Linked DNA regions of Mus musculus. The protein of the gene in region 1 purifies or fractionates together with the protein of each later gene. This does not show direct contact. Links are inferred from orthologs where the notes say so. Each region holds a gene or a part of one and is shown on either strand. Other genes may lie near its edges.

What was found.
Region 2: the proteins of Zc3h4 (region 1) and Wdr82 purify together in Homo sapiens (affinity purification with western blotting; 4 studies listed by BioGRID and IntAct, with this or other methods). This does not show direct contact. The link is inferred for Mus musculus from reciprocal best matches to the Homo sapiens genes ZC3H4 and WDR82.

What each region holds. Positions count from the first base shown.
Region 1 is NC_000073.6:16,434,941-16,438,252, forward strand, and holds the end of Zc3h4 (zinc finger CCCH domain-containing protein 4), read left to right. Parts: coding exon 1-570; 3' UTR 571-2,756; downstream 2,757-3,312. UniProt on the Homo sapiens protein: RNA-binding protein that suppresses transcription of long non-coding RNAs (lncRNAs). LncRNAs are defined as transcripts more than 200 nucleotides that are not translated into protein.
Region 2 is NC_000075.6:106,169,276-106,173,852, forward strand, and holds the start of Wdr82 (WD repeat-containing protein 82), read left to right. Parts: upstream 1-1,653; 5' UTR 1,654-1,943; coding exon 1,944-2,104; intron 2,105-4,577. UniProt on the Homo sapiens protein: Regulatory component of the SET1/COMPASS complex implicated in the tethering of this complex to transcriptional start sites of active genes.

The DNA.
Region 1 (3,312 bases):
CCACCGGCCACGGCTCCCTATGACCCCCGAGTGCTGGCTGCTGGTGGCTTGGGCCAGGGCAGCAGCAGCGGGCAGAGCAGTGTGCTGAGTGGTATCAGCTTATATGACCCAAGGACTCCCAATGCAGGTGGCAAAACTGCAGAGCCAGCTTCTGACACAAGTGCTCAGCCCAAGGGTCCTGAGGGCAATGGCAAGGGCTCAGCCTCCAAGGCAAAAGAGCCTCCGTTTGTCCGAAAGTCTGCCCTGGAGCAGCCAGAGACAGGGAAGGCCAGCACAGATGGGGCCACAGCCACGGACAGATACAATAGCTACAACCGGCCCCGGCCCAAGGCCACAGCAGCCCCCACTGCTGCCTCATCCACCCCGCCCCCTGAGGGGGCCACACCCCAGCCTGGGGTACACAACCTGCCAGTGCCCACTCTCTTTGGGACTGTAAAGCCGGCCCCCAAAACAGGCACAGGGAGCCCCTTTGCTGGCAACAGCCCTGCCCGTGAGGGTGAGCAGGATGCAGGATCCCTGAAGGACGTTTTTAAAGGCTTTGACCCCACAGCCTCCCCCTTCTGCCAGTAGTGTCACTGGGGGCCAGTGCTCCCTCCACTCCACCACCCTCCCAGGGTGACATTTAAGGGCAGCAACCAGAGTTACAGGCGGGAGGTGGGGCAGGTGGGCAGGGTGTTCTTTCTTCACATTTTTCTTCCCTTTTTTCCCCATTTTTAAATAGTACTTTCTTTGAGTCATAAATTGTATCTAACCATCTTGGGTTCTGGTCAGTGCTGCAGGCTCCTGGGCTCCCCTCTGCCCAGTGAGCAACTTATACCCTGCACTGGATAGTGGCAAGTACCCAGCCTGGGACTTCCCTGGAACTGAGGGATGCATAGCTGTCTGGGGAAGCACTGACGGCCACTCACTCACCCTGTGCTGCTGCAAGTTTGACAGAACCACATCACATCGTGGAGAAGCTGGTGCAGGAGTTCCTAGAGCCCCAGGGTCAACTGTCCTCTCTAGCATGCAGCCTGTGACAGCTTGCTTCAGGACAAAGCAACAGTGAAGTGAGAAAATGTCAACAGGAGAGAAAGGGCCCGGCAACCCTCTGGCCCTAACCTGCTCTAGCCTGTACATCCCACATCCTCCGTCCGTCTGTCCATCCAGGGTTTGTCTGTCCTGAAAGTGACACCCACCAGCTCTGCGGGAGACTCTTGGTAGACAGACCTGTGGGGTAGCAGGCCTGGCAGGAGTGGGACAGCCCCTTGAAGCATTCTCCCTCAGTATTACCTACCCTGTGCCACTGGCCTGACCCTCGAGACAGCTCAAGGATCCGTGGTGTGGCCACCTGCCAGACCCCCAAGGAGAGAGGCCAAGAGTGGCCCTGGCACAGTGTGTCTGCTAGCTGCTTCCACACCCCTTAGCCATGTTATCTGTAGAGTACCGGATAGTGTTTGCTTTTTCCTCCCAAGCTGACAGAAGCTGGGCATCAGTGATCTGTTGTGTTGGATTAATAGGTCCTTCCCCAAATGGGACCTGAGGAAATAGCAGGTGTCCAGCTGATGTGTTGGGCCTTTTCTAGGAAAGGGACCAAGCCCCTTCAAGTGGGGAGGCCCAGAGTTACCTGCCATATCCCACATAGTGGAGGCGTTCCCGCAGCCGCCACCACTAGCCTCCTTAGGGCTGGCCTTGTCCAAAGAATGGGGGTGGGAGCGCCAAGGGGCAGAGACTCTCCTTGACCCTCTCCCTAAGGTTGGATCAGGGAACTGGGTAAGACCTGCAGAAGGTTTCTCTGAGTCACTCACCAGGCCCTACAAGTCCGCTTTCTTGCAGGCTGCCTCTTTTATATTGGGTCTCTTGGCCCAACTGCTTCCTTCTTGTTAATAAGGAGACCTGACGCACACAGCCAGTGGATTCCCCTCCACCTCGGGAGGGGACAGGCTCCCACATCCCATCCCACCCTCCACACCCCAAAGAGAAATCCCTTCAAAACAGTTTGGGGCCTGTAGCCAGGGTGGGAGGGGCTTGTGCCCCACAGCCTCACAACCCTTGGGGTCAGTGCACCAAGATCAAGTTGGTTGGTTTGTCTTGTGTTTTTTATTTTGTTTTATTTTCTTAAACAATCATCAATGAGATTTGTCTTTGGGCCCCAGCCTTGGCCACGAGGCCCTGAGGCCAAGGCTGGGGCCCTGGTGAGCATAGGATAGGTAGGGTGAGTACAGTGTGGCAGTGTTTGGGTCCCGACACCCCTTTGAAAACCCCCTTTTTGTAAAAGCCAGGCTTGGTAGTGGGCACCTGTCATCCCAGCACTCAGGAGGCAGGGTCAGGAGGATTACAGGTTCAAAGCCAGTCTGGTCTATATTAGAAAAAGAAAACTGTCCTTTTGCTAAAGAAAAATTAAATGAATTTTTAAGGCTGAAATCTGTGGGTAAGATGGAGTCTGGAGCTTTCCTCTTGGAACAGTTAACCGAAGACCCTCATGGGCAAGGACATCCGCTTGACTCCCCACTCACCATCAGGCCACACTTTTAAAGAAAAATTGTTCTCTAACCAGGATTGTAACAAATGTGTAAATAGTATTTCTGAGTTGAAAGTCGATGGTGCAAATATGTATATAACGTACTGTATTTTTACAATGATCGTCGCATGGCTCTCCCACCCCCTTTTGTACTCAGTATCTGTCTTCCAGAAACCTCACCTGCCTTCTCTCTCATGTGGTCTCTTAATCCAGTAATTGTATTACTGCCATTAAAGGATGCAGTTATTTTAAACAGTCTGTGAGTCTAGTCTCATCTCTGCCCTGTCAGGGAACAAAGAAGGAGGGTGGGGAGTTGTCTGGTTTGTTTCATTACAGTGAGATGAAGGCCAGGGTTTCATGCATTCTGGGGAGCACCAGGCCTGGTACATTCCCCAGCCCTCAGACACTCAAATAACAGTGATAACCAATGCAGGTGTGCAGGCATGTGATCCTAGCACTTAGGAGGCTAAGGCAGGAGGATGCAGAGTTTGAGGCCAGCTTGGGCTAGACCTGAGATGAAAGGAAAAAAAAAAAAATCAGTCATGTAAGACTTCATATAACTAGAACCCTGATTATACATTCAGAAATGCATGCAGGCTGCCTGTGGCTGTATTTACCCACCTACTGTGCTCTCAGCCCTCTGACAGTCTCCAGGTTGGCCTTGAATTCCTGAAACTCGGCCTTCAATTCCTGTGTGCTAGGTTTCTAGGTACACACTAACAAGCTAACTACCATCTCTCTCTGTGTGTGTACAGAATGCACACACAAACCCTTACAAATATTACCCTACTGAAGATGGTTTAACTTGGCCT
Region 2 (4,577 bases), on another chromosome or scaffold:
AAGACTGTTGTTACAGTCAAATTTGTATGTTAAAACAGACCCCTCCAAACACACACACACACATACACTGGCATCTCCTGGGTATATTTGCTTCCCAAATGCTGATATAAAAGAACAGCTTTGCCCAGGAATTAGGAGTCAATTTACCCTTAATAACAGGTTCTACCTAGAAGAAATTACACAAATTTGTAGTCACAGAACAGCACCCCCCCAAAACAAATTCAGTATGTTGATCAATTATATTTGTGAAAATATCAAGTAGATGGGCCACACAGCAAAGCTGTATAGTAGGGAAATTATAGATTTCAGGTGATGTTACAGCCATCTTAGCTTTAGGGTGAATGAAGCTAAACTGAATGATGTCTCTCGAGAAATTTATTAGGAGAATGTTGGAAGTTAGAGTAAATGGCTATTTAAAGTCTAAAGCAAGGCCACCTTAGAAGGCTCAGAAGGTAAAAGCATGTGTGCACGCACTCACAGACACACACACACACTAGTTTTTAAAGAGGCCTAAAATAGTTCCAGATCCTTTGCCTACATTTGATGTCTCCACAATTGCGATGTTGTAGTCAGCCAGTCTGCAGGATCTTTATTGTAGATGCTCTTCAGAAAACTTCAGTTCCCACAGCAAGTCGGGCACATGGCACCAGATCTGTCCTTGCTATCTCAAGCTCCATAGCAGCCTGGATCACCTGGATCACCTAAACTCAAAGGCAATCACTGGGGATTGAGTGCAACCACCTGTGGAAGGTTTTTCTAGAACAGATTTGCAATTTGGAAAGTTGCCATCCATTCAGGTTTCACTCAAACTGGTTCCTTCCCTTCCTCACACCCCGGAACAGATTGTAGCCAGGAACTCTGCCCTTTGTCAGGAGACAACTGCAGTACAAACTTACAATCTTGTCGTTTTCCCTCAGCCAACCACTTCCAGTTCTATCTAGCTACCTTTTTTCTTTAACCTAAGAACCTGAGATGCAACCCCCCCGCACATTTTTCAAGAAGGCTCCATTTTTTTCTCGTGTTCCATTTCGTCGTTTGTCAACCCAGGTTATAAGGGACTCTGGTTGTCATGCCTTTGCAATCACCTGCCAGTGAGTGAAATGTCCCTTCCTAAGGTTCCCCCTCCTCCCGCACTAGAAGTTAGGGATCTTCATGCGCTTCGACTCTCATTAAATTTTAAAAGAAGTTCCAAGCTTCTGAAGTTTAATATAAACCCAGTTGAAAATGCCACTTAAAACTTCGTGCAAGTGTATGTTGTACATCACTCAACTAACAAATCGAAGCCTCCTGGCTCGGCCGTGCAGTGGTTAAGTCAGTCGGTGATGGGTTCACCTGATTCACACCCACACACGAGCAGGCCTCTCCGCCAGGTCCTGCGGCCTCAGAGACACCAGCGTCTCCCCGGGGCTTGAGAGCACCCACAAAGGCACTAGCCCCGAGGCGACCTCAAGTCCTGCCCTCGAGAGAGAGGGTTTAGATGCTCCACGCCCGCAGGTTCACACCCCAGAACCGCGGGCTCCAGCTCCGGGGCCTCAGCAACGGGAGGCCGCCCCGCTGACGTCATCGTCCCGCCCCCCCTCCCCCAGCTCGCGCCTCCGTTCCCTCCCCGCCCCCTTTCCCGGCGTCCGCCGCGACACAAGCTCCTCGCCCTCTGATTTTGCTTCTCCCTTCAAGATGGCGGACACAATGAGCCGGCGGAGCGCCGGTTGGCCCTGAATTGACTCCGGAGAAGAACGGTCAGCGAGGTCCCGTCGTCCGGGCGAGAGAGCGTCGCCTGAGGAAGAGGACGCGGCAGCCCCACTGTCAGCCGTCCTTCGGTTCGTCTCCAGCGCGGCGCCCGCACCGCCGGGGTTGGCCCTGAGCAGCCCGCCCGATCGCTCGCCTCTCGGCCCCGCCCCGGCCCTGCGCCGCCGCTGCCTTCAGCAGCAGCAGCCGCCGCCGCCATGAAGCTGACCGACAGCGTGCTCCGGAGCTTCCGCGTCGCCAAGGTGTTCCGCGAGAACTCAGACAAGATCAACTGCTTTGACTTTAGTCCCAATGGCGAGACGGTCATCTCTAGCAGCGATGATGACTCCATCGTGCTCTATGACTGCCAGGAGGGCAAGTGAGTGTGATAGTGGCCGAGTTCCAAGTGCCCCTCTCCTTCCCTCTGTCGCTGGTCCCCGACTGAGCCCCCACCCCCAACCCCAGGCATGTGGTGCAGGCGCTCTTGCCAGGGCCACCTCCATCCCGCAGTGCTGCAGGAGATCCTCTTTAAGATGATGATGGTTCTTAGTTCATGTGTCTTTGCTCTCTTCCGAGCGCGCTTTTCCCGCTTGCCAAACCCCACCTTGACCTTGACCTTTAAACGCCATGTCCCTGCACCCTGCAGCCGGACGGATAGCCCTTTCCACTCCCCTGGCGACTGTCAGAATGTGCGGGTGGACTCTGAGCTCGATGCAGAACGGCAGGAGCTGTGTTCTGTCCATCAGTGGCGTCCAGCTCTCTGCCTTCACAGCAGTGACCTGGATTCAGCCCTGGCACGGTGCCCGCCCCCTACCCCTCAGCTTCCCGCGCGGCTTTTCTGCAATCAAGCCCCGCGGGATGCAGTTTTTAAGCTGTCAGGATTTATCGATTGTGCCCATGTGAGCTTGCTGTCCTTTCCCAGTACCAATACCCAGGCTTACAGTTAACTTACTAAACAGACTCTTGGAAACTTTTCTTTGCCAGACTCCTGAGAACTTGGCCGCCCCATTCTGGTCAGAATGTGAGCTCTCTTTAAAACAAAGAAAGCATTCCGGAACAATTTAGTGTTTCCTTTTGCATTACAAAAAAAACCCAAGTTTGGCCGCTTAGCCAGTAATCTCAGCATTTGGGCGATAGAGGCAGTCAGACCCTGAGTTCTGGACTTCATAGCAGAGAGACCCTGACTCAAAACAGTTAAAAAACAAAAAACAATAACCGCCAGATTGTGGTTTGCTTATAGTTATCAAAGTTTTGGAATTCTGGAACTGGTTATGGAAATTATGTTAGTTGGAGAACTTGTGTATCTTTGCCGTTTTCATAGCCTGGGTGTGAGGAAGACATTGCCTGTCTCATCTCTGGAAGTTCAAATCCTCGATAAGTAAGCAGTGACCTCTTTTGTAGCAGAAACTAGTTTAGGCTAAATTTGATTCCCTTTGTCAACTTCAGCTTCCTTCCTAAGCAGGAGGTGTTTAGTTTAATAGCTACTGTTTTCGACATTATGTTAAAGTTACCTGTTTTTGAATCCTTGGCTTTTTCTCTCCTTTTTGCAGCTGTTCTCTTTGTTTATTATTTTTTTCAAATAATAGTTTTCTTTTGGAACTTGTCTCTGAGTTTATCTAAAGTAAAGCTATTGTAGAATGAGCTGTATATGATATTGTCCTTGATGGGTTTCCTCGCTGGAGCTCCAACAAAGTATTACGTAACTGTCGTTGGACTTGAGCTTGCTGTATGTGGGAGAGTTTCCTACAGTGGTGATCCTGGGGAAGAGAAAATTACTAACTGGACAAATAGTTATTTGAATTGATGTTCATATTTGTGTATTGATTATTATCATACACTGGTCTGACTATTTGATTCTGTTTGGAACTACAAGTAATTTGAAATTGGTTTGTCTGACATGTTTGGTGCAATACATAGCTTAGAATCTCCCCCCCAAATCTGTAATGGAAATGCATATCCTATTCAAAGGAATAAAACACTAAGACTGAAAAAAATGTTTATTCAGGCATGTAACCTTTTTACATGATTACAAACTTACAGAAAGTTACAATGCTCCAAAGAACTTTCTTGAAAAAAGAACGTGTCCAGCAGTGCCTATAATTTCAGCGCTTGGGAGCTGGGGGTGCGAATCCAAGGCAGCTTGAACAGCTGTCCCAAAAAGGAAATGTAAGGGCTGGAGATGGCTACAGGCACTTGCTCTTAGAGAGGAACAAGTGGACTCCTACACCTTGTAACCATCTGTAACTAGTTCCAGGGGATTTGACCCCTAATTCTGATTTCTTGAGAGATGGCTCAGCTGTTAAGAGCACCTCTTCCACAGGTCCTGAGTTCAATTCCCAGCAACCACATGGTGGCTCACAACCATCTATAATGGGATCCAATGCCCTCTTCTGGTGTGTCTGAAGTCAGCTACAAGGGTACTCCTATAAATAACATAAAGAAGTCTTCATAAAGAGAGAAGTTTGTGGGGGGAAAAAAGTCCAGGAGCTAGAGAGATGGCTAACATGTGGTTAAGAGCGCATGTTAATTTTGCAGAGAACCTAGGTTAATCAGCAGCACCCACGTGGAGGCTCACAATTACATTTAACTCCAGTTGCAGGGGATCTGATGTTCTCTTCTGGATTCCATGTGCATCAGACCTGCATAGGGTGCCCATATATACAAGCAAGCAGACAAAATGCTCATATACATAAAATCAGTAAATGTAAAAATATATATGTATAGAAGAATAATCCAATAATTCCAACAGTAGAAGAAAATAACTGTTTCTTTGGAAGTAACATCTTTATTAGATAATACCAGTAGTAGAATTTGGGTATTTGAAAATAGCTAAAACACAGCTGATTTTTGTT